Linked DNA regions of Saccharomyces cerevisiae S288C. Changing the gene in region 1 together with any one later gene gives a genetic interaction. Each region holds a gene or a part of one and is shown in the gene's direction. Other genes may lie near its edges.

What was found.
Region 2: of MEK1 (region 1) and NDT80, changing one enhances a phenotype caused by changing the other (phenotypic enhancement), as found in Saccharomyces cerevisiae (2 studies listed by BioGRID).
Region 3: mutations in MEK1 (region 1) and ATG42 together harm fitness more than expected from each alone (negative genetic interaction), as found in Saccharomyces cerevisiae (3 studies listed by BioGRID).
Region 4: mutations in MEK1 (region 1) and PUF6 together harm fitness more than expected from each alone (negative genetic interaction), as found in Saccharomyces cerevisiae (3 studies listed by BioGRID).

Annotation. Positions count from the first base shown.
Region 1 is NC_001147.6:992,951-1,000,380, reverse strand, and holds MEK1 (serine/threonine protein kinase MEK1), read left to right. Parts: upstream 1-3,869; coding exon 3,870-5,363; downstream 5,364-7,430. Other genes in the region: SOG2 (Sog2p), read left to right, coding at 1-1,928; TFIIH complex subunit TFB6, read right to left, coding at 2,137-3,168; MNE1 (Mne1p), read left to right, coding at 5,526-7,430. UniProt on the Saccharomyces cerevisiae protein: Probable protein kinase required for meiotic recombination.
Region 2 is NC_001140.6:354,661-362,543, forward strand, and holds NDT80 (transcription factor NDT80), read left to right. Parts: upstream 1-1,900; coding exon 1,901-3,784; downstream 3,785-7,883. Other genes in the region: EPT1 (bifunctional diacylglycerol cholinephosphotransferase/ethanolaminephosphotransferase), read left to right, coding at 155-204, 296-1,421; YHR125W (uncharacterized protein), read left to right, coding at 4,198-4,503; ANS1 (Ans1p), read right to left, coding at 5,042-5,521; YHR127W (uncharacterized protein), read left to right, coding at 6,253-6,984; FUR1 (uracil phosphoribosyltransferase), read left to right, coding at 7,455-7,883. UniProt on the Saccharomyces cerevisiae protein: Transcription factor required for successful completion of meiosis and spore formation. Gets activated after completion of meiotic recombination at the end of prophase I.
Region 3 is NC_001134.8:512,508-520,056, forward strand, and holds ATG42 (carboxypeptidase C), read left to right. Parts: upstream 1-3,156; coding exon 3,157-4,683; downstream 4,684-7,549. Other genes in the region: protein kinase MEC1, read left to right, coding at 1-267; YBR137W (uncharacterized protein), read left to right, coding at 537-1,076; YBR138C (uncharacterized protein), read right to left, coding at 1,255-2,829; GTPase-activating protein IRA1, read right to left, coding at 4,843-7,549. UniProt on the Saccharomyces cerevisiae protein: Vacuolar serine-type carboxypeptidase involved in vacuolar zymogen activation, breakdown of the autophagic body, and autophagosome-dependent protein synthesis.
Region 4 is NC_001136.10:1,439,734-1,447,731, reverse strand, and holds PUF6 (Puf6p), read left to right. Parts: upstream 1-4,328; coding exon 4,329-6,299; downstream 6,300-7,998. Other genes in the region: SEC20 (Sec20p), read left to right, coding at 738-1,889; myo-inositol transporter ITR1, read left to right, coding at 2,265-4,019; CORVET complex subunit VPS3, read left to right, coding at 6,582-7,998. UniProt on the Saccharomyces cerevisiae protein: RNA-binding protein involved in post-transcriptional regulation. Component of the ASH1 mRNP which transports the ASH1 mRNA to the distal tip of the bud, where the ASH1 protein is translated and targeted to the daughter cell nucleus.

The DNA of each region.
Region 1 (7,430 bases):
CTAGCATACGTAATTTGAAATCGATCACAAAATTAAACAAGCTGAGCATCTTGGATTTAGAGGATAATAAAATACCCAAAGAAGAGCTTGACCAAGTACAGAGTTATACTCCATTTCATACGGGCATCCCCAAAGAAGAATATTGGGCAATTGCGATATCACGATATCTAAAAGATCATCCTAACCTACCTACTCCAGAACCTAAAATATCTAGAGCAGCGAAAAGAATGGGATTCATAAATACGAACTTGTCTAATGGAGCAATGAATGAAAACAATATAATTTCACTTGCCCCAAGTGCAAATACAACTATAAGTGCATCTACTGCAATGGTCTCATCTAATCAAACCTCTGCAACATCTTTCAGTGGTACAGTCAATGCAGAATCAGAACAAAGTGGGGCAGTGAATGGTACGGAACTATACAATCACACCAAATATAATGACTACTTCAAGAGGTTGTCGATTTTACCAGAAGAGTCAATGAGTAACGGGCATCAAAAAATATCGCATGCAGAGTTGGTTGTTTCCTGTCGGAAGCTCCTATTTAGTTTTACAGAATGCCAACAAGCTATCAGAAAAATCGCCTCTTTCTGTAAAGAGAAGGCCGTAGCGGTTAATGTAGTATCATTATTATACTCTGTCAGATCACATACTGATAATCTGGTGGAGGTCTTGCAGCAAACAGAGAACGAAGACGAATCGCATGATCAGGCGTTAATCAAGCTGTGCCTCACTATCATCACAAATTTTAAACAAATTATAACATTGTTGAGAAAAAATTTTGAGATTTTTTTCAAAGAAGACGATCTATGCTTCATAAGGATGTTTTATATGACATTAATGTGTGCTTATATGGAAATGTATAATGCATGGTCTTTTATCAAAGAAGATGATCAAGTGTCCGGTTCTGCAAGTAAGGCACCCAAGAAACATTCTTTTTCGAGGCACGAGACATCGTCCAGTAGTATCACAAGCGGTGGAGGACCCGCAGCAAGTACGACCAGTACACATTGTAGCGGAAACATAAAATTACTGCCGAAAACAAGGAGCACAAGAACACCATCTGCATCTGCATTGCTTTCAAATAGTAATATTCTGACGGGTGATACCACTGCTGTTCCTCTTTTATCACCAAATCTAAATGGTGCACACACCCATGGTCCAATTTTGGGACACCAAAATGCAATAAGCAATGGAAGTTCTCAAACGAACATGAATGAAGTAAAAACTACTAGCGATACTATTCCAAGGCAACAGCTGCTTCAGCACAATAAATCCATCAGCGATTCGAAAAAAGAGTCACAGGCGCATGAACCTAAACAGCATCCGGTTATGACTTCTTCAATAATTAACGCATCAAATAGTAATAACGTCTCGAATGTTAATATAACCCCACCACCGATGAATGGTGGTGGTGCCGCGAACAGTAGTGCTAATGTAGTGGAGACAAATATTGACATTCAACTGTATCAAACGTTGTCCACAGTAGTTAAAATGGTGAGCGTTGTATATAACCAGTTAACTTCAGAGATATCCAAGATAGCCATTGCTAGCACCATGGGAAAGCAAATTTTGACGGACTCGCTAGCACCTAAAATTCGTGATTTGACGGAAACATGTCGTCAAGCGATGGATTTATCCAAACAATTGAATGAAAGGTTAAATGTATTAATACCGAACGATTCAAATTCAGAGAAGTATCTGACATCTTTGGAGAAGCTGAAAACGTGGGAGATAATGAATTCGTTCTTAAAAGTAATAATATCAATTCTGGCTAATACTAAAATCGTAATGAGCGACGTGCCTAATTTGAATGAGCTGAGACCTAACCTAGCCAACTTGGCGAAGATTACCAAGGATGTCACTGTGATATTGGACTTGAGTTCATACAAGGCTGTATCAGTAAGCGCCAACTCTCCGGAGTAATATAAAAACTTGCATTGTGAGAAAACGCGAACTTTAGAATACGTAATGGGAGGATCATATACCCCATGGTACTGAAATGTATGCTTTATATATATATATATATATATTTATATATTTATGCATGAAAAATGAGGAGTTCGGAAACAGAAGTTTTAAAAGTTACAGATTTATTGTATAAAAGATACACGCCACTGGTTGAATGTAAATGTTAAAATGAATTGGCATGGTCTAAAAATCCCTCGTAAATCTTGCTTAATTCATAATGGTAACCATGGATACCCTGGGATTCCAAAAATATGGGTAGGCGAACTCTTGTTCGTTCCGCGATACCTTTTAACCTCACAATATCAGTCCCATTCAATCCTGCTATGTTCTTGCTGGCTGAAGACGTTTTAGGGACTTCTTTGCAATTATCATTATCATCAGTTAGAATTACAAATATCCTGTCAAGGATGAAGAAGAGTTTGAATAATTTGGATAAAGTGTCATTAATCTCTGAGTCTTCCATATTTTTGAATGTAAATTTTTCAACGTAATCGATGAGATCGTCCGCAATTTTTATTAAATAGGACCCTTGACCAAAATAACTAGAATATCCGCATGTATCTTTTGGGTTTCGGGAATCTGGGCAATGTCTCTTTTCTTCTGATTGAAGTAAATAGTCTGAGTTTGGAACATGGGCAATAGAATACCAAACGAAGTCAACTAAAGTTTTTAAATCCTGCAGCAGCGGAGTAAGACTGGCATAGCCGTTTTTGATATTCAGGCCCCTGGATTGAACAAATTTTCTTTGAATTTGTAAAAGCTGATCATCAACGTAAGAGATGAATTTGGATTGTTGAGACATTGACAATCTTCTCGGGTGTGACGTTCCATTGTGATCATTTGGCAATAATTCACTCAGCTTTGTGGCAGACGAAAAGGGAGAAGACACGTTTATTCTAGGCTGGAAATCGTCAACATCATCGAGCATAGTTACGTCGTTGATTGTGTTGTTAGTTTCATTGTAAACATCATTGAATTCTGGTGTATGATATCTTCTTTTCTTATTACAATTACGCTGCCATATAACGTTGTCTATGTTAGAATTTACGACATCACCTGAGTCTGCACTAATTTCTACATCTGAGTTTGGATCCAAGTTTAAATCATCAATGTCTTTTTCATCTAGATCATTTAAGTTGTTCAAGTCCAGTTGCTCATTCGGTTGAGCATGTAATGGTGTGTTTGGCTCAGACATCAAAATACTGTGTTGAAATCTTTTATTTTTATAATATTTCTTTCCTTACCAGGGCTTGGAGTCTCTACAACAGTTAGCTTACTGTTTATTCTGCCACATTTCCACCCTTTTGTGGGGCTTCTATTTCAAGGACCTTCATTATGGAAACAGGGCGAGGTTGTTTGTTCTTCCTGCATGTTGCGCGCAGTGCGTAAGAAAGCGGGACGTAAGCAGTTTAGCCATTCTAAAAGGGGCATTATCAGAATAAGAAGGCCCTATGAGGTATGATTGTAAAGCAAGTGGTGTAAAATTGTGTGCTACCTACCGTATTAGTAGGAACAATTATGCAAGAGGGGTCCTGTGCAAATAAAAAATATATATCTAGAAAAAGAGTAGGTAGGTCCTTCACAATATTGACTGATAGCGATCTCCTCACTATTTTTCACTTATATGCAGTATATTTGTCTGCTTATCTTTCATTAAGTGGAATCATTTGTAGTTTATTCCTACTTTATGGGTATTTTCCAATCATAAAGCATACCGTGGTAATTTAGCCGGGGAAAAGAAGAATGATGGCGGCTAAATTTCGGCGGCTATTTCATTCATTCAAGTATAAAAGGGAGAGGTTTGACTAATTTTTTACTTGAGCTCCTTCTGGAGTGCTCTTGTACGTTTCAAATTTTATTAAGGACCAAATATACAACAGAAAGAAGAAGAGCGGAATGAGACCGTTGTATAGCTGCAACCTTGCAACCAAAGATGATATTGAGATGGCAGGTGGCGTAGCTCCTGCTCACCTGGAAGTTAATGTAGGCGGCTATAATACAGAGCAGACAATACCTATAGTAAAGCATCAGCTCGTGAAAGTTGGGAGAAATGATAAGGAATGTCAACTCGTTCTAACGAATCCCTCTATCTCCTCTGTTCATTGCGTGTTTTGGTGTGTCTTTTTTGATGAGGATAGTATTCCAATGTTCTACGTTAAAGATTGTTCTCTTAATGGAACGTATTTGAACGGTTTGCTTTTGAAAAGGGACAAAACGTATCTTTTAAAACATTGCGACGTTATTGAATTATCGCAGGGAAGTGAAGAAAATGACATTAAAAAAACACGACTAGTTTTTATGATTAATGATGATTTACAATCTTCTCTGGACCCAAAACTTTTAGATCAAATGGGTTTTCTGAGGGAAGTAGACCAATGGGAAATAACAAATAGAATAGTGGGTAATGGCACTTTCGGTCATGTTCTGATCACGCATAACTCAAAAGAACGTGATGAAGATGTCTGTTATCACCCTGAAAATTATGCTGTGAAGATCATTAAACTAAAACCAAATAAATTCGATAAAGAGGCTCGAATCCTTTTGAGACTGGATCACCCAAATATTATCAAAGTCTACCATACTTTCTGTGACAGGAACAATCACCTTTACATATTCCAGGATCTTATCCCTGGTGGTGATTTGTTTTCTTACCTAGCTAAAGGCGACTGTCTAACTTCCATGTCAGAAACTGAATCGCTATTGATCGTCTTTCAAATTTTGCAAGCTTTAAACTACCTTCATGATCAAGACATTGTTCACCGCGATTTGAAACTAGACAATATTTTGTTATGTACGCCAGAACCGTGCACTAGAATCGTCTTGGCAGACTTTGGTATAGCTAAAGATTTAAATTCCAACAAAGAAAGAATGCATACTGTCGTAGGCACTCCGGAATACTGCGCTCCAGAAGTTGGATTCAGAGCAAACAGAAAAGCATATCAAAGCTTCTCAAGAGCAGCTACGTTAGAGCAACGAGGTTATGACAGTAAATGTGATCTTTGGTCTTTGGGTGTCATTACACACATTATGTTAACAGGGATCTCGCCTTTTTATGGAGATGGTTCTGAGAGGAGTATTATTCAAAATGCAAAAATTGGGAAGCTGAATTTCAAACTGAAGCAGTGGGATATTGTTTCAGATAATGCCAAGAGTTTTGTCAAAGACCTTTTGCAAACTGACGTAGTTAAACGATTAAATAGTAAGCAAGGTCTCAAACATATTTGGATTGCAAAACACTTAAGTCAATTAGAGAGATTATATTACAAAAAGATATTGTGCAATAACGAAGGCCCTAAACTAGAAAGTATAAATTCAGACTGGAAAAGGAAGTTACCCAAAAGTGTTATCATTTCTCAGGCAATACCGAAAAAGAAGAAGGTTTTGGAGTAATCATAGGATTATCTCTTCCTCTTTCAAACTGCGCGTAGTTCAAAATAAAAAGGTATCTGTGTAAAAAAAAAAAAGTAAGTCAATTGTATGATTTTTAAGTAAAAGTTGCCCTTTTCTACTAGAAACGGCGAGAAAAAATGATAGTAGTGTGCCAAGAAGAATATGAAGTTACTTTTTAAAAGATATTCGTCTAGTCATATTGGTAAGCTGATTAAGGACTCTTTAATCACTCCTGAAATACTACCACAGCTAGGGCGACAGCCATCATCGCATAAACGTTTACCAAATAACAAAAGAACTAACTCAATAACTGATAAATGGTTGAAGGATGCGCTAACAAGAAAAGATAAACTGAATGAAGATAAGCTCCAAAATGTAAATTTACGATTAAATGTGGTACTGACTACTCTACAGAAGCTTCGTACATCCGATAATCCTGCTTTGTATTTTGCGTTGTTGAATCGTATTGGCACAGGTCACATAAAATGGCTAAATAAAAGTGGCCGACAGATTGATGCATTCCCACCTGATCGGCTGCCTTTGGAATTTTATCATGAGCTATCTAATATGCTCTATAAACTATCGCTTCGGTCCGCAAATGACAAAATTGCACTAGCTAAATTTTCATTGCAATTATTGGATCGCTATTATTTTCTTAAAACCAAATCTTTAACTATAGAAGGAAAATTTCGGGCAAACATAAAATTTTTGAGGAATTGTACTCTTTTAATTGTTAAATCCCAATCGAACTACTACTTAAGGGCAATACAGCGGTTGTTCGCGGAAAATTCGGAGGGTCAATTATTAGCCAATTTATCCCAGCTGGCATTTTATGTGGAGACCTCCCAATGGACAAGTATGTTGGATATTTTATCCTCATGTGTACCGGATTCTGGTTTAAGAGGTTCGAAGGAGCGTGAAAGAGCTATTCAATTGTTGGAGTTATTTAGTCCATGCCTAGTCAAAAGTCTAAAAGTAATGATAGCACAAAATATGGAGAATGAAGCTTGTCAGATTTTAAGGAGCTTGTCTGAATGGAACTTTCATTTTGATCAGCATGATTCCTCCAACTTGATACAATTATCCCAGAACCATTCTTGCCTCAAAGTTATTGAAACCATGAATGGATTATCATCAACTACCGCTGTCACTAGGCAATTCGGACTTGAAAAATTACCAACTGACGTGAGTTTGAAGCAGAGCATACATATTTTATCAAAAGATAATTTCGAACCTCTCAAGCAAGATTCATTTCTTCAATTTCTATCGTTTAAATTAAGTGATTTGCCTCTGAACTTAGAAGTATGGAAAAAGCACATTAAGGAGGTTGATGACCAAATGCAGGCTGAGTCCAACCTGCATTCCTTAAGAGCTTTTTTTATTGATATGCTACTGTGTCACTTATCTGTGCGCAAGGATTTCGATTTTATGCTTTCATTGGTCGAGCACATAGTATACGAAAAAAATTTATGGCAGCCATTATTACTCACAGATAATATAGTTGGAAACAAAGAAAATTCCACTTTTCATTGCCTCTTTCATGGCGCCTCTCAAGATATTTCTACCAAACTTACTCTACTGGCATTGTATAACCAGTTGAATGAAATCGGCTATCAATTTACCTCCCACGATTTTCTCTCGATGTTGAAAGTCTGCAAAAACTACTCTGATTCTGATTTTTTCTATTTTGCTTTCTATAATTTGTTGGTTACACAAAGTCACAAATTTTTTCTTTTCGATAAGTTTAGTGATAAGTTTTCGTGGAGGTTGCCAATACAAATCGGAGATGCAATTTCTGAATGGCTATCCAGCTTAGAAATTGATATACAAGAAAACACCGATAGAGTTTTGCAGATAACAGATGACGTCGGCGAATGGTATGTTGAGAATAAACCATTTAAGTCAGAAAAAGGGACCATTCAACCAATAAACATAATGGAATTGCGCAAAATTTTTGGGGAGCGAAAAACTCTATTTCATATGGATTCAGAAATTTTCCAAAAATCTAAAGCAAAAAGAGATAAAGAAATGCGGAATGAAGCTTTATTTACCGCAAATGATGCGGAA
Region 2 (7,883 bases), on another chromosome or scaffold:
TTTCACAAGCTTCCATATTTACGCGAGGAATTGTGCGAAAGGGCTGGACTGAGCATACGTATATTTGTCGAGAAATTACGTTGTGGCTAAGAATACAATGGCATCGTAGTAGGAATTAGAAGTGTAGAATAAGAAAAACAAGCTAAGGTATAAAATGGGATATTTTGTTCCGGATTCACATATCGAAAATCTAAAGTCATATAAGTATGTGAAGCGTCCATTGGCTGCCTTTAAAGTGCAGAAGTCAGAAGCATTGTTACTAACTTTCAACAATTTTTATTCCTTTTCATGATAGATATCAAAGTGAAGACCGCTCGCTGGTATCGAAGTATTTCTTAAAGCCATTTTGGCAAAGATTTTGTCACATATTTCCCACGTGGATGGCGCCCAACATCATCACATTATCAGGATTTGCTTTTATAGTTATCAACGTGTTGACTGTATTCTATTACGATCCAAACCTTAACACAGATACGCCTCGCTGGACATATTTTTCTTACGCTTTAGGTGTATTCCTATATCAAACGTTCGATGGATGTGATGGTGTACACGCTCGCCGTATCAATCAATCAGGACCCTTAGGAGAACTATTCGATCATAGTATTGATGCCATTAATTCTACTCTGTCTATTTTCATCTTCGCATCCGAAACTGGAATGGGATTTTCGTATAACTTAATGTTATCCCAATTTGCGATGCTGACGAATTTTTACTTAAGTACTTGGGAAGAGTACCATACACACACATTATACTTAAGTGAGTTTTCTGGACCCGTGGAAGGCATCCTGATTGTTTGCGTTTCATTGATACTGACAGGTATATACGGAAAACAGGTAATCTGGCATACCTACTTATTTACAATTACAGTTGGTGATAAGGTAATTGATGTAGACACTCTAGATATTGTTTTTTCCCTAGCTGTTTTCGGTTTGGTTATGAACGCATTGTCTGCGAAAAGAAACGTGGATAAGTATTATAGAAACAGCACTTCTTCGGCCAACAATATCACGCAAATTGAGCAAGATAGTGCTATAAAAGGTCTTTTGCCCTTTTTTGCCTATTATGCAAGCATTGCTTTACTAGTGTGGATGCAACCAAGCTTTATTACACTCTCTTTCATCCTTTCCGTTGGTTTCACGGGAGCATTTACCGTCGGAAGAATAATCGTTTGCCATTTAACTAAGCAGAGCTTTCCCATGTTCAATGCACCCATGTTAATTCCTTTGTGCCAGATAGTATTGTACAAAATATGTCTATCCCTTTGGGGAATTGAGTCTAATAAAATCGTCTTTGCCCTATCTTGGCTTGGGTTCGGTCTCTCACTAGGTGTTCACATTATGTTTATGAATGACATTATCCATGAATTTACTGAGTACCTGGACGTTTATGCTTTATCCATCAAGCGCTCCAAGCTGACATAAATCGCACTTTGTATCTACTTTTTTTTATTCGAAAACAAGGCACAACAATGAATCTATCGCCCTGTGAGATTTTCAATCTCAAGTTTGTGTAATAGATAGCGTTATATTATAGAACTATAAAGGTCCTTGAATATACATAGTGTTTCATTCCTATTACTGTATATGTGACTTTACATTGTTACTTCCGCGGCTATTTGACGTTTTCTGCTTCAGGTGCGGCTTGGAGGGCAAAGTGTCAGAAAATCGGCCAGGCCGTATGACACAAAAGAGTAGAAAACGAGATCTCAAATATCTCGAGGCCTGTCCTCTATACAACCGCCCAGCTCTCTGACAAAGCTCCAGAACGGTTGTCTTTTGTTTCGAAAAGCCAAGGTCCCTTATAATTGCCCTCCATTTTGTGTCACCTATTTAAGCAAAAAATTGAAAGTTTACTAACCTTTCATTAAAGAGAAATAACAATATTATAAAAAGCGCTTAAAATGAATGAAATGGAAAACACAGATCCAGTATTACAGGATGATCTCGTATCCAAATATGAGAGGGAATTAAGCACAGAACAGGAAGAGGATACGCCTGTTATCCTTACGCAGTTGAATGAAGATGGCACCACTTCGAATTATTTCGACAAAAGGAAACTAAAAATTGCCCCTAGATCAACACTACAGTTCAAAGTGGGACCTCCATTTGAATTAGTGAGAGATTATTGTCCAGTCGTTGAGTCTCATACCGGAAGAACACTAGATTTACGAATTATTCCAAGAATTGACAGAGGGTTCGACCATATTGATGAAGAGTGGGTAGGTTATAAAAGAAATTATTTTACCTTAGTATCAACGTTTGAAACGGCAAATTGTGATTTGGATACTTTTTTAAAGAGCAGTTTTGATCTTCTCGTTGAAGACTCTTCAGTAGAAAGCAGATTAAGAGTGCAATATTTCGCTATCAAAATAAAAGCTAAGAATGACGACGACGACACGGAAATCAATCTCGTCCAGCATACAGCGAAACGCGACAAAGGTCCTCAATTTTGTCCTTCAGTATGTCCGTTGGTGCCTTCCCCTTTGCCAAAACATCAAATCATAAGAGAAGCTTCAAATGTTCGAAATATCACTAAAATGAAAAAATACGATTCCACTTTTTATTTGCACAGAGACCACGTTAATTATGAAGAATATGGAGTGGACTCTTTATTGTTTTCCTATCCAGAAGATTCTATTCAGAAAGTTGCCCGTTATGAAAGAGTTCAATTTGCTTCATCAATTAGCGTGAAGAAACCATCCCAACAAAATAAACACTTTAGCTTGCATGTAATTTTAGGTGCAGTGGTAGATCCAGATACCTTTCATGGGGAGAATCCCGGAATTCCTTATGATGAACTGGCTTTAAAAAATGGATCAAAAGGGATGTTTGTGTATTTGCAAGAAATGAAAACGCCTCCTCTTATTATTAGAGGAAGATCACCTTCTAACTATGCGTCATCTCAGCGAATAACTGTGAGAACACCGTCGAGTGTCAATTCCTCACAAAACAGCACAAAAAGAAAAATGCCATCAATGGCGCAGCCGTTAAATGAAAGTTGCTTAAATGCAAGACCTTCGAAAAGGCGATCCAAAGTGGCGCTAGGTGCACCGAACTCTGGGGCCTCCATCTCGCCTATCAAATCTCGTCAATCCACACCAATGGAAGCTTCGAAGGAAAATGAGGATCCGTTCTTCAGGCCAAATAAAAGGGTGGAGACTCTTGAACATATCCAGAACAAACTGGGTGCTTTGAAAAATCAATGTCCAGATTCCTCTCTGAAATATCCGAGTTCATCTTCAAGAGGTATGGAAGGGTGTTTAGAAAAGGAGGATTTAGTTTACTCAAGTAGTTTTTCTGTTAATATGAAGCAAATCGAACTGAAACCGGCACGCTCTTTTGAACATGAGAATATTTTCAAAGTAGGCTCATTAGCATTCAAAAAAATCAATGAATTACCTCATGAAAATTATGATATAACAATAGAGAAGAAATCAATGGAACAGAATTATCTAAGACCAGAGATAGGCTCACGTTCTGAATGCAAAACAAGCTATGGTAACGAACTCTCCCTTTCAAATATTTCTTTCTCTATACTACCTAACTCAGCAGAAAATTTTCACTTGGAAACTGCACTTTTCCCAGCTACGGAAGAGGATGTGCCAAGGACATTTTCAAGAATATTAGAAACAGGTTCGTTTCAAAATTATTATCAAAAAATGGATGCAGAAAATGCAGATAGGGTATATTCGAAAGGGGTCAAGTTGATTGCAAGCGGTACTCTACCATCTGGTATATTTAATAGGGAAGAATTGTTTGAGGAAGATAGTTTCTATAAGTATTAAATAAACTAATGATTTTAAATCGTTAAAAAAATATGCGAATTCTGTGGATCGAACACAGGACCTCCAGATAACTTGACCGAAGTTTTTTCTTCAGTCTGGCGCTCTCCCAACTGAGCTAAATCCGCTTACTATTTGTTATCAGTTCCCTTCATATCTACATAGAATAGGTTAAGTATTTTATTAGTTGCCAGAAGAACTACTGATAGTTGGGAATATTTGGTGAATAATGAAGATTGGGTGAATAATTTGATAATTTTGAGATTCAATTGTTAATCAATGTTACAATATTATGTATACAGAGTATACTAGAAGTTCTCTTCGGAGATCTTGAAGTTCACAAAAGGGAATCGATATTTCTACATAATATTATCATTACTTCTTCCCCATCTTATATTTGTCATTCATTATTGATTATGATCAATGCAATAATGATTGGTAGTTGCCAAACATTTAATACGATCCTCTGTAATATTTCTATGAATAATTATCACAGCAACGTTCAATTATCTTCAATTCGGCTTCAGTACTGTATGAAATACTCGCTAACATTTTCTTTATTCTATAATAGCACAGTGACACTTAAACGTCAAACGTGGCGCACATTAATATACGATGTATGCATTTGGCTTGACACTGCTGTAATAAGGAACATCATCATCCGTCAACTAGTAGTCACATTAGTAGTGTATTATCACATGGTGTGTAAGAACATTACGTAAAGATTGAAAAAAAGTCATCAAAAATAAAGGAAGCTGAAACGCAAGGACTAGTAGTGTAATAGAATAATATTGTGTAAAAGTATCGATACCCTTTTTGGAATTATTGTATCTTCGAGGGTGGCTTTTAATATATTTTTGAAAACCTAATATTATAACCTTTCACAACAACGAAATCCCAACTGTTGTGTAATAATTTTACTCAATTCTTACTATTGCTTTACCAATCCTTGTATTTGAGCTCTCATAAAGTTCGCTGACTACTTCTCACGACTCATGTCATCTCCTTATACTGTATATGATAATATACTGGTGGTGAATGACAGCAAACTCTTTCTGGAAAACTTCTTGTCCTAAAGAACAAAATCAGTGTAATGTGTAGGCCAGTGTTATGTTTTCATGAATATGACATCTGATAAGAATAAAACAACTGGTAAAATGACTGCTTTTTCGGCTTATAAAATTCTAACATGTACATATTTTTTATAAAATGAAAATACTATTGTCCTTAATTGTACAATTTTTACATTTGGAGGCCAAATTATAAAAATAATAGCGCTGCTACTCCAACTATATAACCCATGTTCTTGGATTCAACCTTCATACCAGCACCTTCATAGACAGAGACATTTGCGGTACTACTTGGGGTAGTAGCAGCGGTAGTCTCAGGTCCAGACGCAGTGGCTTGGATTTGACCATCACTGATCTGTGAAATAGCGGCATCTTGCTTTTTGCCGGGTTGATGATCTGCAACAGCGCTTCTATTGGAACGATACAATGAGCCATTCCAACCACCCACATCATATACAGCTGCATTAGATATCTTTTTCTGCTGAGCTGCTAAGGACCAAGATGCGCTGCTGTTGAAGGCTTCATCAGTCGAATTAAATTTTCCTTCTATGTACGAGTTCGTACTATTCGCAAATTGTACGTCCAACGTGTCTGAGGAGTTGCTTACTTGTGCATGTGCAACTAGAATATTGGTGATGGCAAACAATGTGGAAACTAAAGTGCACTTCATGGTAGATTAATTATGATGTTCGTTTGATTCTGTTCTATATTTTTTATATGCTGACTGAACAGATTATAAAAATTAAATTACATGAAGTATTGAAGTTAATGTTGGCTATTTTTGAGGAGGAGGTTCACCTTTATATAGTATTCCTCGAGCTACAAAAACATGGATATTTTTACAAATGCTAGTAAAAAGGAAAGAGGTCAAAAGAAACGTTTGGCATCAAAAGTAATCAAAGTGGGGTCTAGATTTATAATTTGTACTACGAAGAATCGCGACTCAAGGTACCAGGTACGACTGAAACTTTCTTTTTGGATTTTCGAAGAGAGAAAAATTAGTTAGCATAAAAAGAAATATAAAAAAAAAGGAAAGGAAAAGTGTTCGAGACTTTACCATACAAAGAAATATTACGGTAGAAAAAAGAGCTGCACTTACCCAATACATATTGATGAGGTAGTATTCACGGTGAGAACAACTTACATCAACACCTCAGTTTGCCGAATCTGCAGTGATATTGTATCCAAAGTCTACTTTTCATCCTCATTTACTGTCATTACAGAAATTTGTCAGGAAAAGCAACCGGGTAAGGGAACTTTCAGGGCCAACGCGAAAAAAAAAAAGGTCCATCCATAGATTTTTTAGAAGATACACACCGTGAATTGATTAGAGATCATAGTAACCTCAAAATATACAATGTCTTAGATTGGAGCAGGCAGAAATATCTATCAGAGCACAAAATGGCTAGAAATAGAACAACCTCCAAGAAAAATGTTCAAAGTAAACGCTTAATAGACAGAGTGGTTCCCATGGACAAGATTAAAAAAGTTGGCGTAGCGAAAAAAAAAACCGTAGAACACACTAAAGAAGGATTTAGCGTTGTCAACGGTAAGCTAGTAAGCAGCAATGACGTCGGTGTACTGTTAAGAGAAGCACAGGGTGCTATCGATAAAAGAACTAATGTTTCCCAAAGAAATAGGAAAAAGGGAATAAAGAATAATAGGCCCCACAAAGACATAAACAGCAGTCCTGACTGGGGCAATGCCCACAGAGGAACCGATTGGCAGAGCGAAAAAGCAAACGGCATGAACAGGGCCAAGAACTCTCGGAATTTTACCACTAATATTAAATTGCAGCGACAACATTTTGGCGAAGAAATACAAGGTGGCAGCCAGCTTGTGATATCTACAAATTCAGATGCTTCAGATAAATTGTTAATGCTATTCAACCTAACTTTGGGAGTAAACCAAGAAAACTTGAAAAATGTTCTGGAAAACATTTCTCAGGTGCAGATAGCTCAAATTAGGGTTAGAGACCTGCCTTCAGGATCTGCCACCGCTAAGGTCCGTCTGGCATATCCTACAACACAGTCTTTGGAGAAGGTAAGAAAACTGTTCCATGGCGCTCTAGTTGATGGAAGGCGCATCCAAGTGGTGATTGCATCTGATGAATCGTCCCACTTGTCGTATTAGAGTTTGTCAACGACACTCACAAGGTATTTAATCAGCAAAATCCCCGCCACAAACTATTTTTTTGAAGACATGCTTTCTCATGACTGCCTAATAACAATACCTCATTCTACTAGTAATCGACCTATGTAATTATTTCATAAACTATAAAGCAGGTCATTGCAATAACAGAAAGGCCGGTTTTTCTATAAGCTTATCTCATCGCATAAAAAATCGACAGTTGTAATTATCTCCGGCGGACTTTTCCCTTTCCGTCTTTTTTTTCAAAATTTTTTTTTTTTTCACTTCTTCTTTCAAAGCTGCCTCAAAAGAGATATATATATTGGTAAGAATCCTCTTCCAATACTAGCTTCATTTCTTCTTGAACCATGAACCCGTTATTCTTTTTGGCTTCTCCATTCTTGTACCTTACATATCTTATATATTATCCAAACAAAGGGTCTTTCGTTAGCAAACCTAGAAATCTGCAAAAAATGTCTTCGGAACCATTTAAGAACGTCTACTTGCTACCTCAAACAAACCAATTGCTGGGTTTGTACACCATCATCAGAAATAAGAATACAACTAGACCTGATTTCATTTTCTACTCCGATAGAATCATCAGATTGTTGGTTGAAGAAGGTTTGAACCATCTACCTGTGCAAAAGCAAATTGTGGAAACTGACACCAACGAAAACTTCGAAGGTGTCTCATTCATGGGTAAAATCTGTGGTGTTTCCATTGTCAGAGCTGGTGAATCGATGGAGCAAGGATTAAGAGACTGTTGTAGGTCTGTGCGTATCGGTAAAATTTTAATTCAAAGGGACGAGGAGACTGCTTTACCAAAGTTATTCTACGAAAAATTACCAGAGGATATATCTGAAAGGTATGTCTTCCTATTAGACCCAATGCTGGCCACCGGT
Region 3 (7,549 bases), on another chromosome or scaffold:
TTTAAGAAGTCTAGTGAAGTCACGTTGGCTTTAATGAGAAAAAATGAAGTAGCGTTGATGAATGTGATCGAAACAATTATGTACGATAGAAACATGGACCACTCAATTCAAAAAGCGCTAAAGGTCTTAAGAAACAAAATCCGCGGTATAGATCCGCAGGATGGCCTGGTATTGAGTGTTGCTGGCCAAACAGAAACATTGATCCAAGAAGCAACATCAGAAGACAATCTAAGCAAGATGTATATTGGTTGGCTTCCATTTTGGTAACGACTTTCCACCATTTTCGGCAACAGACGAACTTCCTCTTGATCTAACCATCACTGCAGGTGCTTTTCTCCGGCGGAGTTAATAGATACTTATCCCCGCTTCATGTCATACTATCTCTCTTAACAGGGATGTTGACACCATATAAGTTAACATAACATATACGTACGTAATAATATTAAGGACTATCTCGCATTTCAAAAGAGAAACAACCTAATCAAGCCTTATTATAAGAGCAAATTATTCAAAAAAAGTCTACGGAGAAAATTATTATGGTGGTTTTAGACAAGAAGTTATTGGAAAGATTGACTTCTCGTAAGGTTCCCTTAGAAGAGCTCGAAGATATGGAAAAACGATGCTTTTTGTCTACTTTTACATATCAAGATGCCTTTGATTTGGGGACTTACATAAGAAATGCAGTTAAAGAAAATTTCCCCGAAAAACCAGTTGCAATTGATATCTCCTTACCAAATGGGCATTGCTTGTTTCGCACAGTGACCTACGGTGGCAGTGCATTGGACAATGATTTTTGGATCCAGAGAAAGAAGAAGACAGCGCTTCGATTTGGTCATTCAAGTTTCTATATGGGCTGCAAGAAAGGTGACAAAACACCGGAGGAAAAGTTTTTTGTGGACTCAAAAGAATACGCTTTCCATGGAGGTGCTGTCCTAATACAATCGGAGAGAAGTGACTACCCCTATGCCTGCTTAACTATAAGTGGATTGAAGCAGGAAGAAGACCATTTAATGGCAGTCAGCTCTTTAATTGCATTTGCTAATGAAAGTCTAGAAGAAGATTTGAATTTGGATTGAGAATGTAGGTAGAAGTAAAATAGAGGCTTGAACACCATAGAATATTTTTTACCCGTTACTAGTATAACTGTTATTTAGTCGTAAGCTTTTCATATATATATTGATTGTTTTGCCCTTGAAAAAATACACAGCACCAATGCAGTCCTGTTTGTTTTAGTGATCTCTTAGCAATGTATTTTCAAGGTTGAAAATTTAAACGATCACTATTTTGATTGCGTAAGAAATGCGGAAGTAAACCATTTATTCTCCACTTCCACTTCAATTTTCTTCTTGCTTCCAAAAACCAATTCATTGATTTAGAGCCCATTGCATCTTTATTAAAATGATGTTTGATTGACTTATCATTTTCTAGCAATTGCAACTGCAATCGTTCTATTAGTTCCTTAGAGAAGCTGTCCTTTTTTTTTGATATTTCCTTTTTAAGGTCGATCTTGTTATCTTCTATGTGCCTATTTATTTTTTTTGGAACATCTGTCGATAAATGAAACGGTTCTGCTGAATTCTCTAGATCACTAAAAGTACCGCTGCTTAGATTTGATTCATCCATAGATGATTCGAACTCGCAGTTCTCAAAGATTTTAGCGGCTTCTTCATATCTAACTGTGCATTGCTCACATACAATTTCTTTATAGTATCCTGAATTTAAAAGTCTCGAGCTAATTTCATATAGGGCCTTTTCGCAGATGACACATTTCCTCAGTTGGGAATGAACATTTAATTCCGATAGATAAAGATCATCGTAACTTTTATTGGAAGATGGAATATTAACCAAGTTAACCACCATATTTTCAATGGAATTTGGTATGGAAATATCACTTATTTCAATTTCCTCTTTGATAAAATCTAAGGGGTTGTTACTTTCGTCCCTATTTTCTTCAGTATTCCTTAATATATGGGGTATCAGTGTTAGTGAATTCGGTTCAAAGCTATTTCTATTGGTTTCCTTATTAATTTCAGAATATGAATTTTTTACTCTCAGCGGGATATGATTATCTCTTCTTTTACTTAGTTTTGATTTCAAATCTGAAATAGATACCATTTTTTTTGTTGATTTACTTTGGGTATACGGTATGTAGTCTTCAACCAGGACTAGCGGTGGTATATCCTGAGAAGTATTTTCTGTTAGCTCGTAGTTTTTTGTATCTAAACTCGGCCCATAACTGACGTACCTATTACGTTTGTTGTTATGCACTCGCAGTTCATTTACAGGATTCAACCTGGGCCGTTTTTTATTGTTGTTGTATTCGTTGTTTCCACTGTCATCTTCATTAGTTTCGATATTGCATGGAGGCGCAATTGGCAAAGACGTAAAGCTCTTGTCATCAATTAGATCTAATTTGGAAACAGATTGGTACAATTTGGATGGAATTTTAGGCTTGGCACCTATCAATTGTGAGCGACGCTTTCTTACATTCAATAACTGTTGGTTCTGATTTTCACTTTGACTATTGCCTTGGTATGGAGAATTTCTCTGCAATGGTTTTGCCTGCTTCGAAGGAGTGCTGTTACTATCGAAGATAAATTCCTTCTTTTCAAATTGCCATTGTAACATGGAGTTATTCTCTATATCCTGGACGACTGGAGGAGTCAAGGGCCTGGAAAGTACGGATCCTGTAGAAATATCACTGGCAATTATACTGAGTTTATTGTTGGTGTTGCTATTCATATTTGAGCTGGTATTGGACGAAAGCAAGGATAATGAGTTTGTGTCTACTGACTCCAACACCCTAGGCTGGATTTGATCTTTCTCCATCCTTTAATTTTAACCTTTTAATTAGTGGTTGGATCAAGTTTTCGAGACTATTCCAATCTGTGACTTGTTGGATAAATAGTTTTTGACTCGTTTAGTATAATCCTTTTTTCTAAAAGTGCTTAGAGTTCTCTAAGATGTTCTTGTTTACAATGTGAGCGATTTAGGAAATTTCCTAAAAATGGCCGAGGCGGCGCTAGCATTCTACGAAAGGTGAGATAACGCTTCGTTATCGAAAAATGTCAGGGGACAGGGGTTATATAAGAACGAAAATTGTCATCCTGCATTTTTTCTTTAAAACAGCTATACAAAAAGTGATACCGACATACAATGAAGTATCTAAACTTAGTTTTCGTGCTTCAGCTTCTTATTAGCATCAAATACGCCTCATTCGGCCGAGCCTTTTCTCTTTTTGAAGATGATACCACCTTTGCCAATTTGGATAAACAGCTAAAGCTTCCACAGAATACACAGCAAACCCTTAAATTGGACCGTTTGAATCACGATGATCCGCTGTTTACAACTTTTATTTCTTCTGTGGACACAGATTACAGTTTGAGACTTAGAACAGTAGATCCTTCTAAACTAGGAATTGACACCGTAAAACAATGGTCGGGTTACATGGACTATAAGGATTCCAAACACTTTTTTTACTGGTTTTTTGAAAGTAGGAACGATCCTGCTAACGACCCAATTATTCTTTGGTTAAATGGTGGACCTGGTTGTTCCTCGTTTACTGGGTTGCTATTTGAACTAGGCCCCTCATCAATTGGCGCCGATATGAAACCAATCCACAATCCCTATTCTTGGAATAATAACGCTTCAATGATCTTCTTAGAACAGCCACTCGGAGTCGGCTTTTCCTATGGTGATGAAAAAGTCTCCTCTACAAAATTAGCAGGCAAAGATGCGTACATTTTCCTGGAATTGTTTTTTGAAGCTTTTCCTCATTTACGCTCCAACGATTTCCACATTGCAGGCGAATCCTATGCAGGACATTATATCCCTCAAATTGCACATGAGATCGTTGTCAAGAACCCTGAAAGAACGTTCAATTTAACTTCAGTTATGATTGGTAATGGTATCACAGACCCTTTGATTCAAGCAGATTATTATGAACCAATGGCATGCGGGAAAGGGGGCTATCACCCTGTTCTCTCATCAGAAGAATGTGAGAAAATGAGTAAAGCTGCAGGTCGTTGTCGTAGGTTGAACAAGTTATGTTATGCTTCTAAATCAAGTTTACCATGCATAGTCGCCACTGCTTACTGTGACTCTGCACTTTTGGAACCGTACATTAACACAGGACTCAACGTCTATGACATTAGAGGGCCCTGTGAAGATAATAGTACTGATGGTATGTGTTATACAGGTCTCCGCTATGTCGACCAGTATATGAATTTTCCTGAAGTTCAAGAAACGCTAGGGTCCGACGTGCATAATTATTCTGGCTGTGATAATGACGTGTTCACCGGATTTTTGTTTACGGGCGATGGAAGTAAACCATTTCAACAATATATTGCTGAATTATTAAATCACAACATTCCGGTATTAATATATGCGGGTGATAAGGATTATATTTGTAATTGGCTGGGAAACCATGCTTGGTCCAATGAGTTGGAATGGATCAATAAACGTAGGTATCAGAGAAGGATGTTAAGACCATGGGTCAGTAAAGAAACAGGTGAAGAGTTGGGACAAGTCAAGAACTATGGCCCTTTCACCTTTTTGAGAATATACGATGCCGGTCATATGGTGCCCTATGATCAACCGGAGGCAAGTTTGGAAATGGTCAACAGTTGGATTTCCGGTAATCGTGCTTTTTCGGATCTTTCCACCTTGGAAAATGCTAGTTAGTAGTGCTCTAAAAATGTTTCACTCTTAACCTTGCAATCATTATACTTTACACAAATCTCTACGTTTCATTTAATTTAAAATCTACAATCCAACAAATATAAAACAAAATATAATTATAAGGAAAAACGTATATAATCACTGCAATACTCTAATTTAAAATTAGGAGCACGACATTCTTGCCAGTATCATTGTTGCTAATCTTTTTCTCTCATAAATTGCCACTTGATGTTCACCCTCTCCTTTTAACTTTTCTATATGTTCCTGATCAAAAATATCCAGAGGCTTCACAACTGACAAGCCTCTCTTTTTTAAAAGTTCGACCATTTCATCATTAAATTCCTCTAGGTAATTAAACTCACTGTGTGTAACAAGCATCCCAATCAATTCAAAAGAGACAGCAACCGCTTCAGATGATTGTTCTAGGGTTGATAACCTCCTGAATTCCTTTCTAGTCAGCGTATAGAACCTGAATACACAAATAGGGTTGACTTTGAGCAAATACCTCATCAATAGAGCAAAACGGAATTTACATGGTTCGTCTGACATAACACAGCTAAACAAAAGTGCTCCTTGGTATAAGACTATATTAGATTTATCTGAGTCTGAACTTAGCCAGTTGATCAAAGTAAGTGGCACTTTTAGTGTATTATTTAAAGGTACCAGTTCATCTTCGAAGCCGACTTCAAGTAACAAGGTAGAAAGTTGTTCAGGACTTAAGACCAAATGGAGTAAGAAAAGGTAACAAAGATAATCGGAGGATTTTGGGTTGGACTTTCTTTCGTAATATGTATTCTTGAAAAGGGCCTGTAGACAATCTAATGCGGCTCCTTTTACGACAGGAATGGATAAACCGTTTGCAATGAAACCTAAAATAATATGAGGAAAATTATCTTCGTTCCATATGCATCCATTGTATGACTCTAACTTAGCCAAAAGCGTAGCAGCAAAATTTCTAGATTCCATTAATTTTTTGGCTAGCGATTTGCCATCGAATCCAAGTTGAAGATGGACCGTGTACAGTCGCTTCAAACAATTTACCATGAACAGGAGACCACCTTCAAAGAGTAAAGGATGAGGGGATTCAACACATATTGTAGCAAGCCAAAATAGCTCTTTCATTAATTCTGAAGAAGGATCTAACCCTTCGACAATTTTGCTGTAAGTAAAGACATGAGCTATAATGATGAACATTTGTTCATCATCCACAACTGGCTCTGCGAAGACCTTCATGGTTTCAACTAAAAGTTCTTTACAAAGGAAAAGGGACGTGTGCGACTTACTCATTATACCTAGAATCATCATAGCTCTCGCAGAGAAGAACGACCGATGGCCAAAAATCGCATCCATCAAATATTTCTTATATTTTGCCTCCCATTGTGCACCCTCTGAAATAGAACCATATTCCATCAATAGCATAATGTTTTTAGTGAAGAGATCTAATGTTCCGAATTTACTGGAGAAGGAGGAAGCGGCAAAATTTGGTAAAACTCTACCTTTTTCTTGGCTAAAACCGGAGATAAAGTTCAACTTTTGACGTGCGAATGTTGCACAGACGATATCCAAATTTTTCCTATTCCTTTCAGGTAAGGACTCATTGTTGGTTAAAGAATGACAAACATTCATCAACAACTCGTACAATGAGACTCTTATTTCCGAAGGACCGACATCAATTAACAGAGACACAGCGAAAAGAATCTCCGGTAAATACATCTGGGAAAGTAAGGGTGATTCAAAGAAAATTGACACACTAATTTTTGATAAAATAGTAAGCTCAGACCAACTGTGTGCGGAAGCCTCAACTGCTAGAGAAGGTAGAAAAGATTTGATCATATTTATTAGCTTCTCTATTACCTGACAAGCAATCTCTGTCGTTGGAAAACTGGTTAGTATTGACACAGCTTTCATCCAGTCTCTGTTTTCTGAATCTCTATCCAGCGCATGACTTACTATTTCTTCAACTATCACGTTCGTGAGACGACCATCCAATGCCAGTAAAAACCAAATCTGTTGAAGGTAAGCTGTCGTGAAATTTGGCTCTTTGACCGTCAACCTGATTAAGCTATAGATTATACGTGAAATCGCCTCTGGTCCCTCTTCGTCATTTGCCAAATATACATGTTCATATAAGTTTGGTACCCAGTATGACAATGAACAGACAACCGTAGGAATATGTTCTTGAGGAATCACGTCGTTTTCAAGGCCATCCAGCATATATTTCCATATATATGGAGTTAGTTCCGTTGAAGATTCTGAAAAAGCCTTGAAAATTAGGGCCAAGAACGTGGTGGTATCATCGGGTACATATGTCTCTGGGGATTTGTGAAGCCTTGTCCCAAAATCTAAATTAAATGCTTCTTGCGTTGCCACGAGAAGGTTGTATGATATGTTTTTGACGAGATCATCCTCATTGAATAAACCTACAAGGATCACCAATGACAAATGTGATATAATTTCACCAACTTCTTTAACATTGCAGTAAGAAGCATTAACTGCTGAAGAGGATGTTGAAAATGAAATATCGTTCGAAAAATCCGTACCAAAGTCTTCTTCCATCTTTAACTGGGCATAATAAAACATTTTCACAATTTCTAGGTACTTCGGACTGCAAAATACCAACTTTTCTTCATTATCAAGACTTAACGTAAATTCCGAGGAAACGCCTGTGGTGTTAGAGACATCGACTGAAATTAAATTTGATATCTTGTAAACATTGTTGAATTTGATGCTGAATGTCCTGTTTGATACGGTAACCTTGTACAACTGCGGAATCTCATGTAAAACTTGGAAGTATTTGTTTCCTATCTTCAAGGACACGGGACAAAACTTCTTTTTTTCCTTGTCATAAAGGGTAATATCATGCAAAGTA
Region 4 (7,998 bases), on another chromosome or scaffold:
CCCCAAAAAATCGATGGAACGCTCGGATTTGGCTAGAGGCGGGAAAAATCACCAATAATCGAAGAAAATAGAAGAACCAAGATACTAATAGCTCTTTGTAAGATAAATTTTGGAGTTACTACAGGTTACTATCCTTATTCAGAGACTTTTTACTGCTTTGCTCCTAATATTTAGTAGGAAAGAGCGAGCCTGTCTGACTCTTTTTTTTTTAAAAAAATTCAAGGTAAAACCTAACTAAACATAAAATTTCCACTCGAGTTATTCCGCTTAAAAGTGCTTAACATCGGTGCCACACAATACGAACCTTAGTAGAGAACCGACCGTTACCTCTTTATTAGCCCTAGTTTGTACCACTTAAGCTCTAATTCCAATCTAATGTGTGTGTATTTTTTTCTATTGTTAGCGCCGCACCAAAGAGGATCATGGTAAATACAATTACATAAAGAAAAGAAAAGCAACAAAACAGCTTCGTTTGCACCTTTAGCAAACGTTGGAATTTTCCTAATCTCAAAACAAGTGGTAAATCTAATCCCACACTAAAGAAAGCACGTCTTTACCAGTGACTTTATCAATAAATCACCTGCACACGCTGTCCGGGTAAATAGAATTGTTACTAAATAATGAAAAATACATTCGCAGTTGTAAAAATGCCAACAGAAATACCTGATATACAGTTAACAAGTAAGATCGGATCACGCTGCCAAGGCGCATAACAAACTATAAAGCCATTAAAGATTATGGTCGTGACATTTTTGCAGGACCTGGAAGTTTTGCAAGATGCATTATTAAATAATTTGCAAAAATTAAGTGCAATCTCCCGCAGAAAAGAAAGCGGAGAAAGCAAGCATGATAATAAGGACAGTTTTGCAGCCATTGCCAACGAACACAATGATGAAGAAGAAGAGATTGAATTTGAGGATTTGGTGAATATTATAGAGAGCAAAGTTTCAGATTTCGAATCGGTACTGAAATGTAGTATTGTGGAAATGACCTACAAATACCCCGAATTAAAATTACAGTGGGAAAAAAGCCCTAGATACGATCAATGCGATAAGTTGCATATTGTGAAGCTTGATAAACAAATGAACGAGGACATATATGCTCAGTTGGTCGAAGAACTGGATTTCGTGTTGCAATTCGTCGATTGGTTCTATTGCTACCGCCTGAAAGTCAAAGAGATTCTACGACAACACCACAAACGTGACTTAGCTTGGAACGACGAGAAAAGAGACCGCGCTATAAAATTTCACGCTGTGGATTACGACAAGCTTCACCAAGGAACGTCGTCATCGTCAAGCTTAACGTCCACATCGATGGAAAAAGCCAGCACTAGAGAGAAGCTTTTGAGCAAAACAAAACAACTGACGAATAACTTGGTGAGAGGAAATCAAATTTTGCAGTCCGGAATTTTACAAAGTGACCTGAATTTGGATGAATTGAGAGCCCAAACCAATTCCTTAACACAAATCGATGACAAGTACACTCAATTCGAAACCGTCTTCAAGAAAACTGCCGATTTGGTCAAAGTACTGGAAAATGCCTCCCATCAAGAGAAACGAGATGTCTATTTATCACTTGGGTTCCTCCTATGCTGCGTCTCGTGGGTTCTATGGCGTCGTATTTTCAAGTTACCTGTTAAACTCGGCCTCTGGCTGCTATTCAAGTTTTTCAAGGGTATACTCGTCACCCTAGGTCTAGTTAAAAGCTATGCAGGCTCCTCGTCCTCTCTTCAAGCACCCAGTCTTGTGCTAAATGCACCCATTCTAGCCACTACAACTACATCCTCAGCAACCTCTGTGGAACCATTCGCATCTGTATCAGCCGTCAGTAGTATCCAGCGGGCTGTCGATGAGGCCGTGGACAGGATCGTCTCACATGATGAGCTATGATAATTTTAACATCTATATAACATAATAAGCGCATATACTTAGTTCTCTCCATCCTCTCCATTTATTTTCTCTCACCATTGTTTCTGTTCTCTTCACATGCGTTAGGTATAGCTTATACCCCCCACTGGTTGCGCTAAATACGCCTTCCCCACCGCATGTGAAAAAAGCTCGACCAAGCTCAACGCGCTGTTGCAAAATGGAAAAAATATAAAAGGAATCAAGCCATAGTTGAGAAAAGACCTTTCACACTTGGGCTTTTCTTTGGCAGGTGTTTGCTCTATTCTTCTCTTTCAGTTTGGTGCGCTATTCAGATTTATTGGTCGTCCTACTGTATACATCTCTTTCATTTTCTTTGTTTCTGCAGTGGGTGTTAAAATGGGAATACACATACCATATCTCACGTCAAAGACATCGCAATCAAATGTTGGTGATGCCGTTGGCAACGCTGATAGTGTAGAGTTCAACAGTGAGCATGACTCACCTTCAAAGAGAGGTAAAATTACACTTGAGTCACATGAAATACAGAGGGCTCCCGCTAGCGATGATGAAGATAGGATTCAAATTAAACCCGTGAACGACGAGGATGACACGTCGGTCATGATCACTTTTAACCAATCTCTTTCGCCCTTCATCATCACTCTGACTTTTGTCGCATCCATATCCGGTTTCATGTTTGGTTACGACACTGGTTATATATCCAGTGCGCTGATCTCGATCGGCACAGATCTGGACCACAAGGTACTTACTTATGGGGAGAAGGAAATTGTCACTGCGGCTACCTCTCTGGGAGCTTTGATTACCAGTATTTTCGCCGGTACTGCAGCTGACATATTTGGTAGGAAACGTTGTTTAATGGGTTCGAATCTGATGTTTGTCATTGGCGCAATCTTACAGGTCTCCGCACACACATTCTGGCAAATGGCTGTTGGTAGACTGATCATGGGTTTCGGTGTCGGTATCGGCTCCTTGATCGCGCCACTTTTCATCAGTGAAATTGCTCCCAAAATGATCAGAGGGAGACTAACTGTCATCAATTCCTTATGGTTGACTGGTGGTCAATTAGTCGCTTACGGTTGCGGTGCTGGGTTAAACTACGTCAACAATGGTTGGAGAATTCTTGTTGGATTGTCACTAATTCCCACTGCTGTGCAATTCACATGCCTGTGCTTTTTACCTGACACTCCAAGATACTACGTTATGAAGGGCGACTTGGCAAGGGCTACTGAGGTGTTGAAGAGAAGTTACACTGACACTTCGGAGGAAATCATTGAACGTAAGGTGGAAGAACTTGTTACTTTGAATCAATCTATTCCTGGTAAGAATGTCCCTGAAAAAGTCTGGAATACCATCAAAGAATTGCACACAGTACCATCTAATCTAAGGGCTTTGATCATTGGTTGTGGTTTACAAGCAATTCAACAGTTTACCGGTTGGAATTCGTTGATGTATTTCTCTGGTACCATCTTCGAAACTGTCGGTTTCAAAAATTCTTCCGCTGTTTCAATCATCGTGTCCGGTACCAATTTTATTTTCACTTTAGTTGCCTTTTTTTCCATTGACAAAATAGGCCGTAGAACCATATTATTGATTGGATTACCAGGCATGACCATGGCTTTAGTCGTGTGCTCTATTGCTTTCCATTTTCTAGGTATTAAGTTTGATGGCGCTGTCGCTGTGGTGGTTTCCTCCGGTTTCTCCTCTTGGGGTATTGTGATCATCGTATTTATTATCGTATTTGCTGCGTTCTACGCTCTTGGTATCGGTACTGTTCCATGGCAACAATCGGAACTATTCCCCCAAAACGTGAGAGGTATTGGGACTTCATATGCAACTGCTACAAACTGGGCTGGTTCACTGGTTATTGCATCCACATTTTTGACCATGTTACAGAATATCACTCCTGCAGGTACATTTGCCTTTTTCGCGGGATTGTCGTGCTTATCAACCATTTTCTGCTACTTCTGTTATCCAGAATTATCGGGATTGGAGTTAGAAGAGGTACAAACTATTTTGAAGGACGGGTTCAACATCAAAGCCTCGAAAGCTTTGGCCAAGAAGAGAAAACAGCAAGTTGCCAGAGTTCATGAATTGAAATATGAACCAACTCAAGAGATTATAGAGGATATATAGTCCTTTCACGAGGTAAAAGGAAGGAGACGCAATTGAATATTCAAATACATAGTAGAAAATAAATAAAAATAAATTACAAGATAGAAAAAAGTTCATTGTATTTAAGTCGAACTAATTGTTGTATGCATATATAGAAGATTAACTAACCCGGCATTGAAGACCTTTTTTTTTTTTCACCTTGAGAGAAATACTGAAAATTTTTTTTGCTGGGATGAGATGAGATGCCTACCTAAAGTATTTCGAAGGTGAAAGCGTTTTATTATAGAGTACTGAAATAAAGCACAATCAGGAATAACAAATTAACTGACAATGGCACCTTTAACCAAGAAGACAAACGGAAAACGTTCTGCTAAAGAAGTTAGTCATTCAGAAAAGAAATTAGCCAAAAAACCTAGAATTTCTATTGATTCGTCTGATGAAGAATCAGAACTATCCAAAAAGGAAGATGCTGTATCCTCTTCATCAGATGATGATGATTTGGATGATTTAAGTACCAGTGACTCTGAAGCAGAAGAAGAAGCTGACGAATTAGATATTTCCGATGACAGTGAGGAACATGAAAATGAGAATGAAGAGAAAGAAGGAAAGGACAAATCTGAAGGAGGTGAAAATGGAAATCACACTGAACAAAGAAAACTGCTAAAAGAAAGGAAAATGCAAAGAAAATCTGGTACCCAAGTGCAACAAATTAAATCCGTCTGGGAAAGATTGCGTGTGAAGACCCCACCTTTACCAAAACAGATTCGTGAAAAACTTTCCAACGAAATCTGGGAGCTATCTAAGGACTGTATCAGTGATCTTGTCTTAAAGCATGATGCTTCCCGTATTGTTCAAACTTTAGTCAAGTATTCGTCCAAAGATCGTCGTGAACAAATTGTCGATGCTTTAAAGGGAAAATTTTATGTTCTAGCCACATCTGCGTACGGTAAGTATCTATTGGTTAAGTTACTGCATTATGGTTCAAGAAGTTCAAGGCAAACTATAATAAATGAATTACACGGTTCTTTGAGAAAATTAATGAGACATCGTGAGGGTGCCTACGTTGTTGAAGATTTATTTGTTCTTTATGCCACACATGAACAAAGACAACAAATGATTAAAGAGTTTTGGGGCTCTGAATATGCTGTATTTAGAGAAACCCACAAAGATTTGACCATTGAGAAAGTTTGTGAAAGTAGCATTGAAAAAAGGAATATTATCGCCAGAAACTTGATTGGTACCATTACCGCATCAGTAGAAAAGGGTTCCACCGGCTTTCAAATTCTACATGCTGCTATGAGAGAATATGTGAAAATAGCCAACGAAAAGGAAATATCTGAAATGATCGAATTGCTTCATGAACAATTCGCTGAATTGGTGCATACTCCAGAAGGTTCAGACGTTGCTTGTACTTTGGTTGCTAGAGCTAACGCCAAGGAAAGAAAGTTAATTTTAAAGGCTTTGAAAAACCACGCCGAAAAATTGATCAAAAATGAGTACGGTAATATTGTCTTCATTACAATTCTGAACTGTGTTGACGATACAGTTTTAGTATTCAAGACTTTCAGTCCTACTGTTAAGGAACATTTGCAAGAATTCATAATTGATAAGTTTGGTAGAAGGCCTTGGTTATACATACTATTAGGTTTGGACGGTAAGTATTTCTCACCTATCGTCAAGAATGAATTATTGAGATACATTGAACTGTCCAAAGCCACCTCTAAGAAGGATCCTTTACAAAGAAGGCACGAACTTTTGTCAAAATTCGCCCCCATGTTTTTAAGCACTATATCAAAAGATTATTCCAGTATATTGACAGAGAATCTAGGCTGTCAGTTCATTGCCGAAGTTCTAATAAACGATGAGTTGTACGCGCAGCTGAATGAAAAAGACCAAGAAAAGTATCAACAGGTCTTAAACAACATTTTAACTACTTTTAAGGGTGACATAACCGAAGAAGAGCACCCAATACATAGAGCATTTTCTACTAGACTATTAAAGGCACTAATTCAAGGTGGTAAATGGAATAACAAAGAAAAAAAGGTCATACCATTAAAAAATGTTCAAGGCTTAGGCGTTCCATTTGCTGAAAAGTTATACGATGAAATTATTGACTCCTCCAACTTGTTAGAATGGATTAATAACGCTGATAGTTCATTTACAATTGTTGCACTGTATGAAACGTTAAAAGATCAAAAAGAAGGGAAACCATTTTTGAAGGATTTGAGAGGAGTTCAGAGTAAAATCACCACTGATGAAAGTAACAAAGGCTCTCAGCTTTTGGCTAAATTGTTAAAATAAATTTTCTACGATAAAGTCACAATATTTGGTATATAAGCATCTGTACAATAATAATAAAAAGCTTGATCTCATTGAAAGTGCAGGTATATATAATTGTCTCCTAAAAACTCCTTACATCGCATAATATCTGTTGAAGATACCGTTCCGATGGGAAAAAAAGGCAAGTTTAACTGGAAATATTCATATGTACTTACTATTTTATAACGACATTAGTGAATCAGAACTATCATAACAGTCAAGGAGACTACCTTTTTTTGGTTGCAACCATAATATTATAGAACCATGGTAAAAAAGAAAACGAATAATGACAAAGGAAAAGAAGTAAAGGAAAATGAAGGAAAGCTCGATATAGATAGCGAATCCTCACCTCACGAAAGAGAAAATGACAAAAAAAAAACAGAAGATGATAGTCTACGTGCAACAGAAAGTGAAGAGACGAATACACATAATGCTAACCCAAATGAAACAGTACGAGCTGATAAATTTTCCCAGGAAGAGAGTCGACCAATCGAAGACAGTCCACATACTGATAAAAACACAGCACAAGAAAGCTGTCAGCCTAGCAGCGCAGAAGATAATGTCATAAATACAGATATTACAAGCTTAAATGAAAAAACCTCCACGAATGATGAACAGGAAAAAGGGTTGCCACTGAAAATAAGCGAAGGTCCTTTTACAATCTCTACCCTATTAGACAATGTACCATCTGACTTGATATACACATGTTGTGAGGCGTATGAGAACCACATATTCTTGGGAACAACTACAGGTGATCTTTTACATTACTTTGAACTTGAACGTGGAAACTATATGCTTGTGTCGCAAACAAAGTTTGATGCAGAATCAAATTCGAAGATAGACAAAATCCTTCTTTTACCTAAAGTAGAAGGCGCACTAATATTATGTGATAACGAACTAGTTTTATTTATTCTCCCAGAATTTGCACCAAGGCCCAACACAACTAGACTTAAAGGTATTAGTGATGTCGTTATTTGTAATTTTTCCCGAAGCTCGAAGGCTTATAGAATATATGCATTTCACGCAGAAGGCGTAAGACTACTCAAAATATCTGCAGATTCATTAGTACTTACCAAAGCTTTTAATTTCAAACTAATAGATAAAGCTTGTGCGCACGAAGAAACATTAATGGTTTCGAAGTTAAATAGTTACGAACTTATAAATCTAAAGTCGTCACAGGTAATTCCATTATTTCGAATAAGTGAGACTGACGAAGACTTAGAACCTATAATAACCAGTTTCAATGAACAGAGTGAATTTTTAGTTTGTTCTGGAGGAGGATCATACGATAGTGGGGCGATGGCCTTAGTGGTAAATCATCATGGCGACATAATAAAAGGAACTATAGTGCTAAAAAATTATCCAAGAAATGTAATTGTTGAGTTTCCCTACATAATCGCTGAGTCTGCTTTCCAGTCGGTTGACATATATTCTGCCTTGCCGAGTGAAAAATCCCAGTTGTTGCAAAGTATAACTACTTCTGGATCGGATTTAAAAATTTCAAAATCTGACAATGTATTCACTAATACCAATAATTCTGAAGAATTCAAAGAAAAAATATTCAATAAGTTGAGACTTGAGCCTCTGACACATAGTGATAATAAATTTAGAATTGAAAGAGAACGCGCCTTTGTTGAAGAGTCTTATGAAGAAAAGACCTCTTTAATCGTTTATAATAATT